Caenorhabditis elegans: one gene and its partners. The protein of the gene in region 1 interacts with the protein of each later gene in a pairwise test. Each region holds a gene or a part of one and is shown in the gene's direction. Other genes may lie near its edges.

The links.
Region 2: the proteins of F57C12.2 (region 1) and mdt-19 interact in a two-hybrid assay, tested with the Caenorhabditis elegans proteins (one large-scale study listed by BioGRID).
Region 3: the proteins of F57C12.2 (region 1) and cbp-3 interact in a two-hybrid assay, tested with the Caenorhabditis elegans proteins (one large-scale study listed by BioGRID).

Annotation. Positions count from the first base shown.
Region 1 is NC_003284.9:548,815-553,386, reverse strand, and holds F57C12.2 (RING-type domain-containing protein), read left to right. Parts: upstream 1-1,994; 5' UTR 1,995-2,019; coding exon 2,020-2,114; intron 2,115-2,182; coding exon 2,183-2,359; intron 2,360-3,321; coding exon 3,322-3,522; intron 3,523-3,571; coding exon 3,572-3,869; intron 3,870-3,918; coding exon 3,919-3,993; 3' UTR 3,994-4,032; downstream 4,033-4,572. Other genes in the region: F57C12.6 (Cerebellar degeneration-related protein 2-like), read left to right, coding at 1-47.
Region 2 is NC_003281.10:2,596,118-2,603,859, forward strand, and holds mdt-19 (Mediator of RNA polymerase II transcription subunit 19), read left to right. Parts: upstream 1-1,935; 5' UTR 1,936-1,943; coding exon 1,944-2,034; intron 2,035-2,080; coding exon 2,081-2,348; intron 2,349-2,940; exon of another isoform or gene 2,941-3,051; intron 3,052-3,196; coding exon 3,197-3,437; 3' UTR 3,438-3,449; intron 3,450-6,917; 3' UTR 6,918-7,095; downstream 7,096-7,742. Other genes in the region: apb-1 (AP complex subunit beta), read right to left, coding at 572-813, 869-905.
Region 3 is NC_003281.10:9,912,942-9,917,647, forward strand, and holds cbp-3 (histone acetyltransferase), read left to right. Parts: upstream 1-1,599; 5' UTR 1,600-1,689; coding exon 1,690-1,785; intron 1,786-1,837; coding exon 1,838-1,964; intron 1,965-2,095; coding exon 2,096-2,212; intron 2,213-2,262; coding exon 2,263-2,383; intron 2,384-2,427; coding exon 2,428-2,566; 3' UTR 2,567-3,248; coding exon of another isoform or gene 3,249-3,386; 3' UTR 3,387-3,438; coding exon of another isoform or gene 3,439-3,593; 3' UTR 3,594-3,645; coding exon of another isoform or gene 3,646-3,716; 3' UTR 3,717-4,008; downstream 4,009-4,706. Other genes in the region: F40F12.9 (CCHC-type domain-containing protein), read left to right, coding at 80-158, 206-337, 609-739.

The DNA of each region.
Region 1 (4,572 bases):
CTAAATCCCGTACTTTTTCTACGTACTGTTTAAAAAAGAAATGTTAATCAATAAATTCTAATACATGCACGTGGTGTCATGCTGTCCCATAGCTCCACTTCACGAAAATTCGTGCTTGAACTAAAAAACAATTATTCGAAATGCGCTGTAACTTCACAAAATAAAAAAAATTTCGCGCATTTTGTGTGCAGTGTAGCGATGGGACAGCCTGACACCACGTGAATATGTTTTTACATTAAGTAAACTTCACCTACATATGTATCGAAATTTTGCCTGCAACTTTTTCGCAACAGTGAATGCTCAACGAGCCTGAAAAGAAAATATTATAAAGAAAAGAAAAAAAAAGAAAATAATTTTAAAAAAACTGAAAAGAAAATAATTTCTAGGTTCAACAAGGCATATTGGAAATTTTTTTTTTGTTTTGTTGGCAGAAGTTGTTTGAGTCATTTTTCAAAAATGACATATAATCAAATGAGTTTAAAAAATGAATATTCAAGATAACGGAAACACATTTGTAATTGACTTGACCTTCTCCCGCAAAAATGTTATAAATTATCAATGCTTCTATAACGTATCCAAAAAACTTCAATACTGTAGTAATCGGGCCACATGTCTGAAAGTTGATCGCTGAAAATTGAGCGTAAATAAACAATGGAAAAATATTGGAAACGATAACAATTGCAGACTCCAGAAAGGCTAATTGTGTTGCCTGAAAATATAAAAATGTGAATTTATAACGCCGTGATTTCCTTACTCTTGATAAACCAAAAGACCAGGTATGAGTTTGAGATTTCAAGAATAATTTGCAAATGAATAATCGCAGAAATAGAAGTGTTGATAATAAACTCTATACGAATTCGCAAACACATTTTGAAGCTATTTTTAACAATTCGATGCCGTCAGTGTTGTAAATTTTCCATGCCATTGGCCAAACTTGCCAATTAAACGAAACATTATATCAATCGCGAACTTACAATAAATAAGTGACAGCTCATGTCTGTAGGTAATTCGTTTCAAACAAAAAATCGCAAACAATAAGTATAAGTTTAAACATAAAGTTGCAAATCTGAAATTAATTAGCATTAGAATACTAGTTACAGCGAACGGCTGCATGTTATCGCAGAATAAAGAAGAATTGAATAATATTTCTACCCGCTTTCCGTGAGGAACAAAACGTGTTCTTGTTCTTTCTCTGCACCATAGAAATGAAACTTCAAATGGATATATCGGGTTCGCGGGTGTCGGTTTCAAAAAAAATTGTTTGCCAAAACTGAACTATTCAGCTGATAATCTAAATTTATTTTTTATTGAACACCTGGGTCATTGATTGTTCCATTTCAAAATGTTTTAACTCAAAATACCGACCCAAGCATTTTTTATGGAACGATTTAAAAACGATTTTGTTTGTTGATTTTTTGACTTTTCGATTTTCCAACTTCCAGCTCAACTTTTGGGAACCCTGTCCATTATCTCGATTCAAAACAACTTGTAATGCAACAATTAGTCAACCAGACGTACAACAAAGAAAATGTTCTAATAACCAAAAAATTAGTTCGGTCGTGACAGCCAATTTTTCAATGTTTTCGATTTCCAAAACCGACACCCTTGATCGGGTTAAGCCGCGATTGGTTTTGCCACGCTAAAGATTATATACAGTAGTGACCAGAAATGTATGCATTTTTTTTGTTCATTTTACACAGTTTTCAAATAAATGTAACTGACACAATTGAACTGTTGTTATGCTTGAATAGAAGTTGGTAAAAATAAACTCGTGAGGTGTCGGTTGCTGTGTTTCTTGGCTACAATAAACAATATTTTCACCATTTCGCCAACTACTTTTGTTTCAAGAGACCGAAAATAATGTAGAGTGAATCAGCTAAAGAAAAATGATAACGGTTTGTCAATACAGCAACACATTTTTATCAGTTGCTGTGCGCCTGTATACATAGTAAAACATACCCCATTTCTCTTTTCCTATTAGTGAAATTGATTTTAATTTTATATTTACTACTTTTCAGAATGAGCTACCCAGATAACCCTTCAGCGATTTCGCAGGTTTCTTCGTTGCAAAACAATTTGGTTAATCAGAATTATACACAAAAAGCATTGATACAGTAAGTTTTCAGATATAAGTTTTGATTTCTAGTTTGGAAAAAAAGTTATGTCAAATACCAATTTTCAGAAAGTACAATGAGGCAAATTTGAAAGTTGAAAACCAGAAGAAATCGATCACTCAGTTGCATGGAGCAATTCAAAAATTGAAAATGGAAAAGCAAAACTTGGAAACTCAATTATCAGAGAAAAACTCACCAAAAACACCGAATGTCACAGAAAACATGTGGAGCCTAGAATATGAAAGGTGGGTCATTTTTTTCGCAGTTCTAAACCAAATTTTTTTTTACAATTCAAAAACTATGAAAAGATGAAAAATGCCATATAAATGTAAGAACACATCTACAGTATTCTCTATTAGTCTTGCATGCAAGACTCATTTTCGATTGACTGTAGAGGTGCAAGACTATAGGAGACTGCAAGACAAATTTTCTAATGCCCCATAACTTTGGACAGATTGTAAATTTCCGTTCAAAAACATGACTTTGTTCCGTTCAAACCATGAAAAAAAATTCCAATATTTCATTTGCTATTTGAACACTTTTGAGTTCATTTTACCCAAAAAATCTCAAATTTGTTGTAGCTTCCTCATTCTATTACTGGCAAGGCAAAAATAGATGTGCAAGACTGTCAGAGACTGCAATACTAATAGAGGCTGCAAGACTAATAGAGGAAATAGAATACATATATGTATTGTTGAACAGCCAAAATATATTTTGAAAAATTGAAAAAAAATGTAATTGAAAATGTTTGTGTTCTTAAGAAAATGTTTGTGTATTTAAGAAAATTGTTGAAGTATAAGTTTAAAAAGTTCTATATGATTTTAAGCAGCTTTCCCTCTAACGCAACTTTACTTTGAATGGCAAAAGGCTTTATGTAGAGAAATACCAAATGACAATTTCGTCAAGTCATACAGTTTCATTGCAACCGCAGAGTAGAAAACATCATCGTTAAGTCTAAAAAAAGTTACGATTTTTTTAAACCTAATTGAAATGTGATGGAATATGTCAGCTTCAAAAAAATGCAAATAGTTCTAAAGGTATTTTGGCAATTGCCGATTGCTGAAAATTTTCATAACACATGTAATTTAGTGTAAAACTCTAGCAACAATTTTCTCAAACCTATGTATATATAATTTTCTTATAAAAACAACACATATTAATCAAAATCGCCAGTTGTCGCTTACTCCCGATGTGAAATTTTTTTTAGCAAACTCAGTGATGCTAAAACAAAAATTGAAAACCAAAAAAAGGAAATCAATAAATTAAATGAAAAGGTGACCCAATTGAAAGAGGAACAACAAAACTCAAATCAGTTATCAAAAAACAACGAATCAGATATGAGAAATGAAAATAGATTGGCGGAAGTCAGGAAAGTGCAGGAAAATGTGTGGCGACAAGAAGTGGAAAAGTGAGCATAACTTGTTTTGTGTTGATTTTTCAAAACCAATTCTTTTCAGATTGTCTGTAACAGGAGCTCAACAAGTTGTTACTATCTCAAATCTCTCTAACGAAAACAGACAGCTGAGAGAAGAAAATTCAACGTTGAAACTGCTTTATAACGAGAACACGGCGCAAGTGAACACCTTGGCAATGATAAGTGCTGCACTGTCGTCAAACGAAGAATCAGTTAATCGAAACCTGCAACCGACGCCGACGCATGTAGAAAATGAGCTGCAAGATACCGAATGTGCCATATGTAAGGAGGAGATGCGTTTTCCAAAATGCACAACGTGTCGCAAAAAGTTTCATGAAAGAGTAGGTGTCTTGCTTTTTCGGATTTTCCAACTAAAAATAGAAACTTCAGTGTCTTCAACAATGGACCTGCATCAATCCCACATGCCCAGCTTGTCGTACCACTATGACGCTCCAGACCTCATAACTTTCGTTTCATTTGCAAATAAAGTCTGTGTTTATGAACTTTGACTTTATTTATTCAATCCTCACGATTCTGAATTTAAATCTCACGTGGGAGCCGAAATCCATGTTTCAGGTCTTACGGTCTTACGTTAGGAACAGCTATTCTGCACTGATATTCACTCGGATTGTTTGATGGTCACTGCCTCTCTAAAATTGAAAGTTTTGAAAAACTACCAAAAAATAAAGGTGGCGTATACAACTTGTACAGCCAATTTTTTGATTTATTGACCTCATTTTTTTTAATTTTTGAGGTAATGTCATGAAAATTTAGGCTCATGGGTAATTAGGACTTGGAATTGAATGGCATCAGCAAAATTTTTTTTTAATACAGACGTGGCCACAGGCTCAAGGGGGTGGCGTGTAGAACTTGTACGCACAGTATGGTGCAACAGAGATACTTCTTCGGGAAAACTGGCAACACCACGGAGTCTGAGCACAGTTGCCAACCCCGAAATGCATATTGTATTGTTTATTGACTTGAATCAAGAAAAGAAAATGAAAAGTCAATAAATATATAATTTAGGCTGGCCCGCAAGAGCCG
Region 2 (7,742 bases), on another chromosome or scaffold:
GAAGGAAAAAACCCGCAAAAAATGTAATTTTCCTCTCAAAAGTGATAAAAAGTTGCTCCTCTGCAAATTTAACAGCTTTTTGGGGAAAATTTCCACTATTTTCTCAAGATTTGGATCTTCACAGTCCTGAAAAAAGTGCAAAATTATTAAAAATTTCCGAAAAACGACCGAAAAAAGCTGAAAAAATCTGGTTTGTTCTTGCTTTTCCCCGGAAAAATGCCATTTTTATAATTTTTCCCCGGTTTTACGAAAATTCGGAGAATTTTGCCGGGAAATCTGAAACGTCTGGGATAATAATGGTATTTTTAAATTTAAAATAATTTTATTTTCAAGTTTTAAATGAGAAAAAACAAAGACAATTCGCGCGGGAGTGTTTGCAGCTTTTGGGCGAATTTCTTATATATTTAAGCAAAATTTCAGCTTTTGGAGCGAATTTTCAGCATTTGAGCAAATTTTCAGCGTTTGAGCAAAATTTTCAGCTTTTTGAGCGAATTTTCAGCTTTTCGAGCAATTTTTACAACTTTTTGAGCCAATTTTCTACTTTTGAACCTTCTCAAGCTGTCTCCCCTACCTTAACAAACGTGTTAACCGCCATAATCGCGAGATCAGGCTGCGATTTCGCGTAATTCATCAAATACAGATAGACTAATTTCTTCAATTCAACATTATCCGTCTGCATACAATTCACCACATCGGGAAATAGAGCGCTGACGTCTTTTCCGACTGTCATACTGGCGATAACCTTCTTCACAGCCTCTTTTTTCTTCTCCTTTTTGTCAGAGTTGAGCTCATTTTTCAGTTCGAATATTTCTCCTGCAATAAAAATTGGAAATTTGAGTTAAATTCATTGAAAACGATATAAAAATACCTTTCTTTGTGGTGGTGAAATATTTGGAGTCGGTCATCTTGTGATACCCCTGAAAGATAAATGTGAAAAAGGGTAAAAATTCAAATTTTCGTAATAAAATCGAGGTTTCAAGGAAATTGGAGCCGCAGAAGTTGGCGGAGATGCAGAATTTTGGGCGGAAAAGAATGAAAAATCGATAAGTTGCCGTGTGCGCAAAGATTTCCGTCCCGCAAAACCTCCAAATATTGCCGAAAAGGGAGAGAGAAGGACAGAGAAAAAGGGATAAAAGTGGCCACGGAAAGTGCGCAAGCAAATCGGGGAAACGCGTCAGTGGGGAGCCTTTGCGCGTTTTTGGATTTATTTTATTTTTATTTTAATTTCTCGATTTTAAACGTTTTTTAATGTTTTTTTGAAAGAAATCGTTGATGAATCTGGTTTTTTGATACATTTTTCGCATAAAGTTGATAAAATATGAATTATTGTTATTAAAAATTTACTATTTTGACCAAAAATTATCCACAATTTGTTCGTTACACCAATTTTCATGTTTCTGGCTAATTTTTTCCGAAATATTGCATTTTCCAAGTTATTTTTGAATTCCCGCGCAAATTAAAGCAAAAGAAAAGTTAAAAAAAAAAACGAATTTCTGACCTTTTTTCACTTTTTATATAGTTTTTCGATTTTTTTTTTCCAGAAACATTCCAGTTTTCTGGAATATTTTTGAAATCCCTGTGGTCATCTTCAACTTTGCAGACTTATAATCTCTGAAACTACTGAAATTAGCCGAATATTGCGAAAAATGACTTGTTTCGAATCTAGTTTCAAACAAAAAATTTAAAAAAAGGCCTAAATCTGTACTTTTTTAGTCTTTAGAACTGAAAAAAAAAGTTTTTTTTTACCGCTGAAACCCCAAAAATTAGGCGAAATTGACTCAAAAATGTTTCAAAACAAACTTCAAACCAAAAAAAAGCTTACTTTTTCACTCAAATTCTAGGATTTTGCTGGAAAAATCCCACTTTTTTTTCAATATTTTCCCTCTTTCAATTAAATTAATTGAATTTTAAAAATCTCCCGGCTTAAAATTACAATTTCAGGCATGAACGAGCCATCGGCCTGCTCGGGGCCGCCCGTAAAGAGCAAAAGCTCGAAAAACGAGCCATTTTACACATTAAAAGCTCTACTTCCACGTGAGTTTCTTCAAAAATCTGCTCAAAACCCAATTTTTTATTCCAGCGTACAGCGAAATTCAGGGAAATCACGATCTTCTCATGTCGTACGAGCTCGGGCCTGTTGAGGGAGGATTCAGTGGTAGCAGACGAGTTAAGGAGAAAATCTCCTCGTTTTTGCCGCATATAATCGGCGAATTTCACTTGGACGCGACGAAAGAGGCGAGCTCACTGCGAGCTCTCATCGAAAAACCGCCGATTCACAAGGAAATTTCGAATTTGACGAGCTCTTCGATGCAGGGATTCAAGCTTTCTGCTGGGCCCGTCGATGAAAGGTGCAAATTCGACGATGTTCTAGATTTTTCTGATTTAAAATTGAAATTTCCCATTAATTTTGATGTTTTCCGCAAAATATTGCGGAATTTCGCTATTTTTAAACATTTCTCCCATTTTTGTAGAAATCGCTGCGAGACCCAACGGACGATAGGGACCATGCACCTTTAATTTTTGTAGATTTACTGGTGGCATTTTAAATAGTTTTAGGCCAATTTTTGCACAAAAACGGTGGAAATTCAACTGAATAAGCACAGCGCCACTCTTTCGAACATTTTAATTCAATTTCCGCAAATTTTTGAATTAATTCTGGCATTTTTGTAGTGATCGTTGCGAGACTCAACAATCAATAGAGACCATGCGCCTTTAATTTTGTAGATTTACGGAAATAATTTTTTAACAGTTTTAGCCCAATTTTTGAACGAAAACGGTGAAGTTTCGACAAAATAAGCTTATCGCCACTATTTCGAACGTTTTAATCAAATGTCCGAAATTTTTTAATTAATTCTCCTATTTTTGTAGAAATCGCTGCGAGACCCAACGGTTTTAATAGTTTTTGGTCCAATTTTTGCACGAAATCGATGAAAATTCCACAAAATAAGATTAAATATTCAATTTTACAGGTCAACACCAACATTTTAAACTTTTAAATAATTTTTCCGCTATTTTTCAGACAAATTCTTGCATTTTTGTAGTGATCGTTGTGAGACCCAACCAGCGCAAGAGACCATGCGCCTTTAATTTTGTAGATTTACGGGAGGCATTTTTAACTTCTTTTTGTCATTTTTTGCGCGAAATCGATAAAAATTCCACAAAATAAGATTAATTAATTAAAATTAAATTTTTCCAGATATCGCCACCTATTCGAGCGCCGAAAAGAGGAACCAAATCTGGCGTACAGCGAGAAATTGAATTTAATACGGGTTCGGCAACAATACGACGCATATGGATTTGATGATGATGAGACGGAGAAAGGATTTCCGAAGAAACACAAGAAAAAGAAGAAGGATAAGAAGAGAAAGAAGGAAAAAGAAGAATTAGGCGATGCGGAGAAAAGAAAAAGAGCCGCCGATGAGCCAATGGAGTTTTAGGGGGGATTTTGGGTGGGTTTAAGCTCAATTTTGAGGAAAAAAAATGAATAAAAAAGTCGTATTTATTAAAGGTGGTGTAGCGCCAGTGCCTCAATGACCGAATATCATGATAAAAAAATTCAAAAAAAATTTCTAAAATTTATATGATTTTTTTTAAATTGAAAAAATCTCAGTTTTTGCCAAATTCCGATTTGAATTTCCGTTTTATTATTTATTTATTGTTATTTTGCCTTATTTTTCACCGATTTTCCAAGTTTTCAGTGTATTTTTACATGGAATTTGAAGAAAAAGTCAAAATAAATTAAATTTTCGATTAAAAAGCATTTTTAATTCAATTTTCAGATGATTTTCGCGCGAAATTTAGGAAAAATAATTAGCAAATTATGAGAATTTCGAGTAAAATTTTAAGAAAAAAAACATAATTTTTTCAGTTGATTTTTTGAACGTAAAAGAGCTAGAAAATTTGGAAAAAATTATTGAGGATTCTTTAAAAAAATTATCGCCAAAAGTGATAAAATTGGAAAAAACCCAATTTTTTGAAGAAATCTTCTAGTTTTTGGTAAAAAAAAAAAATTTAAAAAACGCATTTATGCGATTTCGAACCTGAATTGATTAATTTCACGGATTTACGCTTTTAAAGTAGCTTTTAAACCAAAAATTTGCATCTGTTTTGACTTTTTCTTCGAATTTCTTGTAAAAATACACTGAAAACTTAGAAAATCGGTGAAAATTAAGAAAAAAAAATGAAATATTGGCGGAAATTCAAATAGGAAAGTCAAGTCAAAAACTGAGATTTTTTCAATTAAAAAAAATCATTAAAAAATTTGAAATAATTTTTTGAATTTTTTTACTATGATATTTGGTTATTGTTGTACCATAGGCATGTTTTAAAGCAATTTCCCATAAAATAAAATTATTAAATAACAGTCATTCTTGCGCGAATCGCCATTGCAATATCCTGTTTGCAGGAAGACATTAGAGCATTATGCAGTTGTCTTCGACGCCGTTGGCTCAGCTGACGCTCCAATGAGTGACGATGCTCTACCATACAGATGTGTGTTGTTAGAGCCACTGAAATTGGATTTAAAATTAAAAAAAAAATGGAAAAGAATAAAAATCTTTGGAAAAATTGATTTTCTGCGATTTCCCGCAATTTTTAGAGTGATATTCAAATTTAAATTCAATTTTCAGATGATTTTTGCGAAATTTAAGAAAATTAATTGGCTAATTATGTGAATTTCGAGAAATATTCGAGGTTTTTTTTCCTAAATTGTTGACAAAAAATCGAAAAAAATCAAGGTTTCATTTGATTTTCTCAGAAAAAATTAGAAAATAAATTTGAAACAAATTGAAGATTCTGAATTTGTCGCCATAACTGATCAAATTGAAAAAACGAATTTTCAGTTGAATTTTACAATTTTTGAGTGAAAATTATTAAAAAAATAATATTTCGAAGAAATCTTTCAGTTTTTTTTGTAGAAATTTTTGAATTTTTTAGTTGTTTCAATGAAAAAATTTTAAAATTTGGTTTCCGTACGAGAAAATCAAAAAAAAATTCAATTTCTGCATAGAAATTCAGTTTTTCAGGCAAAAATTGAACATTTCGGTTTTTAATTTTAAAAACATCGATTTTTTTTGAAATCTGGTGAAAATTGTGTAGTTTTCAAAATTTTAGGTACAAAAATTTCGATTCTGGCTCAAATTGTGCTTAAATTAGTAGGAAAAATCGGAAAAAATTCAGAAAATTACAGAAATTTAGCCTTAAAATCGTTCTAAAATTCAGTTTTTCTTAAAATTAAAAAAAAAATCTAATTTCTACATAGAAACTCAGTTTTTCAGAAAAAATCTGAAATTTTCAGTTGTTTGAAAAAAAATTTTTTTTCGAGTTTTCAGCTAAAAAATGGAAATTTTTTAAATTCTCGTAAAAATTGTGTAGTTTTCAAAATTTTAGGTAAAAAAAATTTCGATTCTGGCTCAAATTGTGCTTAAATTAGTAGGAAAAATCGGAAAAAATTCAGAAAATTACAGAAATTTAGCCTTAAAATCGTTCTAAAATTCAGTTTTTCTTAAAATTAAAAAAAAAATCTAATTTCTACATAGAAACTCAGTTTTTCAGAAAAAATCTGAAATTTTCAGTTGTTTGAAAAAAAATTTTTTTTCGAGTTTTCAGCTAAAAAATGGAAATTTTTTAAATTCTCGTAAAAATTGTGTAGTTTTCAAAATTTTAGGTAAAAAAAATTTCGATTCAAATTTTACACAATTTAACAGTAAAAATCAGAAAAATACACAAATTTATTCTAAAAATCGTTCTAAACTTCAATTTTTCATCGAAAAAATGTCAAAAAACCCACTCAAAAAGCATCCAAGAGTTTCACAAAATAGGCTCCAATCAGCTTCTGTATAATATAAAAATTGTTCTTCATTTTTTGGTTCTTGAGTATTTGTTGAATGAATAATGAACATTGTAATAATGACTGGAATAAATGAAGAAATTGTTGAAATCGACAGAGCTCGTATCACTTTTTTCGCATTTTTTGAGAAAAAATAGCCAAAAATTGCGTAGAATGGGGCTATCAAGGCGAGCAGCAGGGCGACAATGTCTGGAAATTTAGCAAATTTGAAAAAAAAATTAATTTTTTCAGTGGAAAATCAAAAAATGTTGGTATTTTATTGGCAAAACATTGAAAAAATGGGGTTTTTACGATTTTTTGACTTTTTTTCATGAAAAGTTGAATTTTTCCGAGTTTTCATCGACTTTTTTCAGAATTGCTCCGGAAAAATGTAGATTTTTACTGAAAAAAACGGAAAAATTTTTTTTTTACTAAAAGTCGAGAAAAATTATCAATTTTTAGTTCTTTTCCTTGAAAAAATCCAGAATTTTTTTTTCGAAAAAATACGTTCGATTCGTTCAAATTCGTTCAATTTCAAGTTCAAATTCGAAATCGTTGATTTTTTTCACAAAAAAACCAAACATTTTTCGAATTTTTATCTTAAAAAATCCTTTTTTATTCAATTATTAGATTGAAAATTAAAAAAGTAGTCATTTCTAAAATTTCTTTTTTTTGTCGAACATTTTCTGGAAAAAATCCAAAAAAATTTGAATATTTTTAGATAGGATTTTTTCTTTAAAAAATATCTGAACAATATTCAGAAATTTTTCTAAAAATCTGAAAAGAAAAATATTTTTTTTTGTAGGAAAAACAATAGAAATTGTGGATTTTTTATTTTCAAAAAATAATTTTAATCCGAAATTCTGAAAAAATTTCCAAAAATCAAGAAAAAAAGTTTTTTCAAATTACCATGAATTTTCAAACGAATGTTTGAGAAAAAGAAAAAATCTGAATATTCAGAATTTTTTTAATCCGAAAATTTTCCAGAAATTGTTCTAAACATCTGGGGAAAAATGGTTTATTAAATTTTTTTTTGTAGGAAAAAAAATGAAAAATGTGAAGATTTTTGCTAAAATTCAATTTTTTTCAGAATTCTCTCCTACTCAACTCACCCAACACAAAGCTCGTCTGTACCAGTTCTCCTCTCGATAAATATGTCTGAAATGTCAAAAACCAATGGCAATTAAATTCATTCAACAATGATCCACTTCGCGATAAATTTCGACGATATCCTTCTGAAAATTAACCTATAAATTAAATTATTTTTTCTTCATTTTTTTGTTATTTTTGTTTAATTAATATCAGTCAATATTACCTGATATATCATTACATTGACGAAAAAGATTAGCGTGTTGATGTACAAGTGTATATGATATATTACCACAATCCAGACGAGCAATCTGATTTGATAGGTGAAGCTGGCAGTTTGGAGGCGGTGTCTTGAAAATTTGAGAAATTTTTGAAGAAAAAATTATTCAAAAAAATTCATTAATTTTTTTAATTAAAAAAGAGTATTAGAAAAATCTATTAAACATTTTTTTTCAAAAATTCGAAAATTTTTTATTTTAATTTTTCTAGTTTTTTTGGAAAAAAATTCTAAAATATCAGAAAATATAAATAAATATTTTAAAAATGTTTTGGGATTTTCAAAATTTTGCAAAAAAAAAGTTTGGAACTTTTCAAAAAAAAAATTTTTTGAACATTTTGCGATCATAAAACAATTTGACAATTCTGAAAAATAAAGTGGTTTTATGGAATTTTCGAAAAATTCGAGTATTTTTTCTGTACATTTTTGCTATAAAATATCAGATCTAAAAAAAAATATCCGGCATTTTTCTTGAATTTTGCGATTTTTTAATTTTAGGCTTTTCCAAAAATTAAAATTGGAATTTTTTGAACTTTTTTGAGTTTTTCA
Region 3 (4,706 bases), on another chromosome or scaffold:
GTTTTACCGTATTATTTAGTTAGAGCTACTTTACCTGTAAATATTTGTGACTCACTATCAATATTCCGAATTTTCAGTCATGCCCCATAACAATTGCTGTAAATTTCAAGAACCCACTGACAGTTCTGAAACCTCAAGCATGCACAATTTGGAACAAAGTTTAAACTTTATATGGCATAATAATTAAGTTACTTGTTTCTTACAGGTATATGCTACAACTGCCACAAACTTGGTCATATGTCTCGTGATTGCCCTGAAGAACAACCTAAAGCATGTTTCAAATGTGGATTCCGTGGACATTATTACCGAGAATGCCCATCACAAATAGAGAAAAAATGTAATCACGGGGAAAACAGCGAATTGAAAAGTTGTTATCAATGCCAAAAAACTTCAAGTTCATGAAATAACTTATCGTGTCTCTTAACTTTTATTCGTGCAAAAATAGCTTTATATTTGTTGATAATAAAATATTTTTACTTTTTCAAAGGAATTTGGATAAATGTGTCATAAAACATACTTTAATAGAAACTTGAGAATATTGTGTTCAATCTATGTGAAAAGACGTTCGTTACGTTTTCTGGTTTTCATACTAATGATCACTTTTTCAGTTGTTTTTCTCATTGCTCTGCTGGCAGTTTACAACACGACGTTTGCATCTAATAGTGTCTGCCACATCACCAGAAAGCCACTGATGCTTCGAGCTCCATGCGATGTCTACAAGAATCCAGTGCAATTTTGAAGAGCTGCTTTTGTTCTCATTCTCTGCATGCATAAGTGATGTTGCGTCTTTGTACTGTAAATAAATTTGGCAGAATAAAGTGCAACATTTAATTAATAGTCCATATACGCACCGAGTTTTTATAAATTTTCACACTCAACATAGTGTTTCACTATGTTGAAATAGTAACACAGTACATCAATGGCGTCACCAGCAAAAACGATAATTATCATTTCGGTTACTTTCCGATTTCACAATCGCAGTGTATCACATGCTATTTACTGATAACATCCACTCTTTCATTTCATTTCGCTTTTGCTCATTCTTAAAACAAGTGATTCAGAGCAAAACTTTTAGCGACTTGTAATACATTTCTTACAAAACATTGCTTTTTGTGTATAATTTTTCCTTTCTTTCCTATATTTTATAAATGAGTTAAAAATGTACAAATCAACGAATGATATTCAAAACCAAATTGTGATGCAATATTCGTCAGTTCTCTCATTTGTTACAATCTAAAATGGATAACTATTTAGATCTCTTCTAAATGATTTTTATTCAATTTCATTCAGATTTTGCCGTTTTGAAAATTTTTCAGGCAAACCATAAGCCTGAAATTACCCAATTTTAACACCTTTTGTATGGAGTTTTTCTTTAGGTTTTGTATAACTTTGTTCATTTTTGGATCAAGCAAATATCAGTTTATGAAATCACTGGTTTTTGCATTTTCAACCTTATAATTTTTTGTCGTATAAAATTGTTAGTTTTTGACTATCACTAAAATATTTTATCAAAAAACAATTTTTTCTACGTGTTTTAAGAAATTTTTAAAATAAGAACAGATAAGCACAATTAAAGTTATCAACCAAACTTGTTTTTAGAAAAAATGATGACCGAAACTGTATGATAACATCTGTTTAGAACAAAAAGCCGTAACATCATCTCTGGACGGCAACAACTTTTGGATAACCATGCTTGCACTGCATCAAGATCCCGTGAAGCGGAAGCTTATTCAGCAACAATTTGTTCTTTTACTCCATGCACACAAATGTTCTCAACGTGAGAAGGTATGTTTTGCAATATGTTCTGATTTCCTTCATTCATCACCAGTTGTTTCAGGAAAATAATGAGTTTGCTGCCAGGAATCAACTACTTCCACATGCTGCATGTACATTACCCCATTGCTCAACTATGAAGGAAGTATTGATTCACATGACAAACTGCAATGTTGGTCGTTTATGTCATTGTAAGTCTATTACGAGCTGGAAAGAGTTTCGAACATTTTCGCAAGAACAAGCGCCTATTTCCACCAAAAATTTCGCTTCACACTCTAGTCACTGTTTCCGCCGATACCTCACAAACTAAAAAAATGTTCAGTCGCTCATTGTGCATCGTCTCGCCAAATAATAGCTCACTGGAAAGACTGCTCGAGGGAAGATTGCCCGGTCTGCAAACCACTCAAAGGGATACAAGATACTCCATTACAATTTTCATGTAAGTTTTATTCTACCTCAGAACATTTTTGAATAATTGTAAGTTTACAGTGCCCGATGTGATCAGTCTGATAGGCGCCAACGGAAATTCTTATGGAAGTGCAGATGGTGAAGTAATTCATCAAATTGGATCTTCGGCAATGTCAGTTGGTGAAGGTGGACATCAGTCAAGGTAAGAATATAACATTAAACCATATATAAAAATTTTTATCACAGAACCAACCAAGAAACTGAGACAAATAGGCAAAATCAAAGCCAACAACCATTAATGGATATCAATGTTCAGTTGAATGCTGAAGAACTCGAATTGGCATTTGCCGAACTTATGAAGAATCCACAGTTGTTCCATGATTGATTCTCTGTGAGTTCTGACTCCAACTCTTAACGCATCTTACTTCTGCTCAGAAAGTCTTGATCAAAAACTGATATCATTCCAATGCGGATCCAGTGTTTTTGAAGGTTCCTCTAATAGATTATTTTCAGATGCGGGAAAATCAAAGATGTGCTGCATCAACAACATATATTCTTCGTAGCTATATTAATTAATATGCTGATTATTTCAAATTGACTTTTCAGAATTCGGTTGGTGTTTGTTATATATATAATTAAATGTACCTTTCGAAAATTGTAAAAGTGAAAAATGTGAAATACATATTTGATTGAATTGAATATGCTAAAGTATCATTTAGGGCTGTAAAAACTACTAAAATATTTTTGGGTGCGTGCCAGATGTAGCTGCATCATAACTGCCTTTCTACCTATGCACCAGGTACCTGCCTCTCTGAAAATCCTTACGCATATTGAAGTACAGATTTTATCAAAATGCCACCCTCCGGATCAGAAATCACTGGTGTGTTTTTTTTCAGTTTCCAATTCTCTTTATTTTCTCGGATCCTATATATTTTTCTAATGGCAATAATGGCAACTCGACTGAATAAAATACGTTCCAGTTTAATAGAAAATTTGTAAATAGTTATTTTATTATTTTTCATAACTACTTCTCAATTTTTTTTCAAAAAGCATTTATAATATACCAATCAATTGAAACAACTTCTAGTTTCTCCTGGAAACTTTCCAGCAAGTTCGAGATTTCCAGCATTAAATGTTTTCTCTGCAGAACTTCCCCAGTTGGCGTAAGATTTTGGAATATTGATGCGGAGGACTCTTTGGCACGGCTGAAAATTACTATAGGAATTTTTTTATTAGAATAAAAAATTCTAAACTCACCGTAATTCCGTCCTTACAATCATGGAAAACAGCCAAATATGGCTCGATTCCGGTGATTTCCTTGGTAGATCCACTCAAATTGAATTCTCCATTTGAGTCAGCCTTTCCTGATGCCATCTTATCATCTCTGTCAAGAAATCCCGGCAGGAAACTATCTGAAAATAGACAGGTAAATAGAAAATTCATTTTCAGAAGCTTTTCACATACTGTCAGATTCCATTAATTTGACTTTCACTCCCGATGCAGGCCTTCCTTCACACATAAGTTTTCCTTTTGCCTGAAGTGTAGTTAGAATTTTTGTAACTATTGGATTTATTTTTGTATTAGATTCTCAAATAACATGGAACCACGTCTAATTAGTAAAAAAAACCATTTCTAATCAGCTTTTCGACCAATTCTAGAGTAATTAGTGAGATAAAAAATTTCGTGATTTTTTTCAAAACTTCATTTTTATTTCTACTTATTTATATTTTTTCCAGTAAAATTTTTTTTTCTGGTTAATGGACGAGAACTAAAGGTTTTTGAAAATTTGGCAAAATTTGAATAAAGCTTGGAATTTTCCTTTGATTTGATTTGATTTGATTTATTTTCAACATTAAGAGCCAAAAGGTAATACATTGAAAGGTAGTACAATTTAAGGTTTAATGAGAAAATAAATTTATAAAACGAGACAAACCCAGCAAGAGTTCATCTCGAGTGTGGGAAATGGGCGAGGTAAGAATTAAAAAACAGAAAAAAAAAGAAGAATAGAGAATAAAGAATTATAAAGAAAAGAAAACGGACTCGAGATCACATAGTTTCAATACCGGGGAATGTGAAGATCGAGAAAGTGAGAAAATTGGAAAGGAGAGAGGAAAACCGGTACGTTTTTGAAAAGATTATTCCAAATGGGAACTGACTGGGCAAAAAAGTGAGCGGTGCAACTGTCCTTTCTAACGAGAATCATAGGGTGCCTATTAGAGCTAGCGAATGAGACAAATTGATTAAGCCTAGGGAAGTGGGAGGATCCAGTGAGGAATCTATAGAGTAGTTTCATTTGAGCTTTAATTCTAGTGTGTCTGGTGGAGAAGAGTTTCATTATGCTAAGTCTATCTTCATAAGAGGAGAATTTAGTATTGCATCGTTGCAGAACGCGCTTGGTAAAGTGTCTAAGAGGTTTCTCAAGTTTAGTCGAGAGCAATGAATTGGGGGAGGGAGAGTAAACCTCCGCGCAGTAATTTATAATTGGAGCCACATAAGTTTTGAAAAGAAACCCGTAGAAGTGAGGT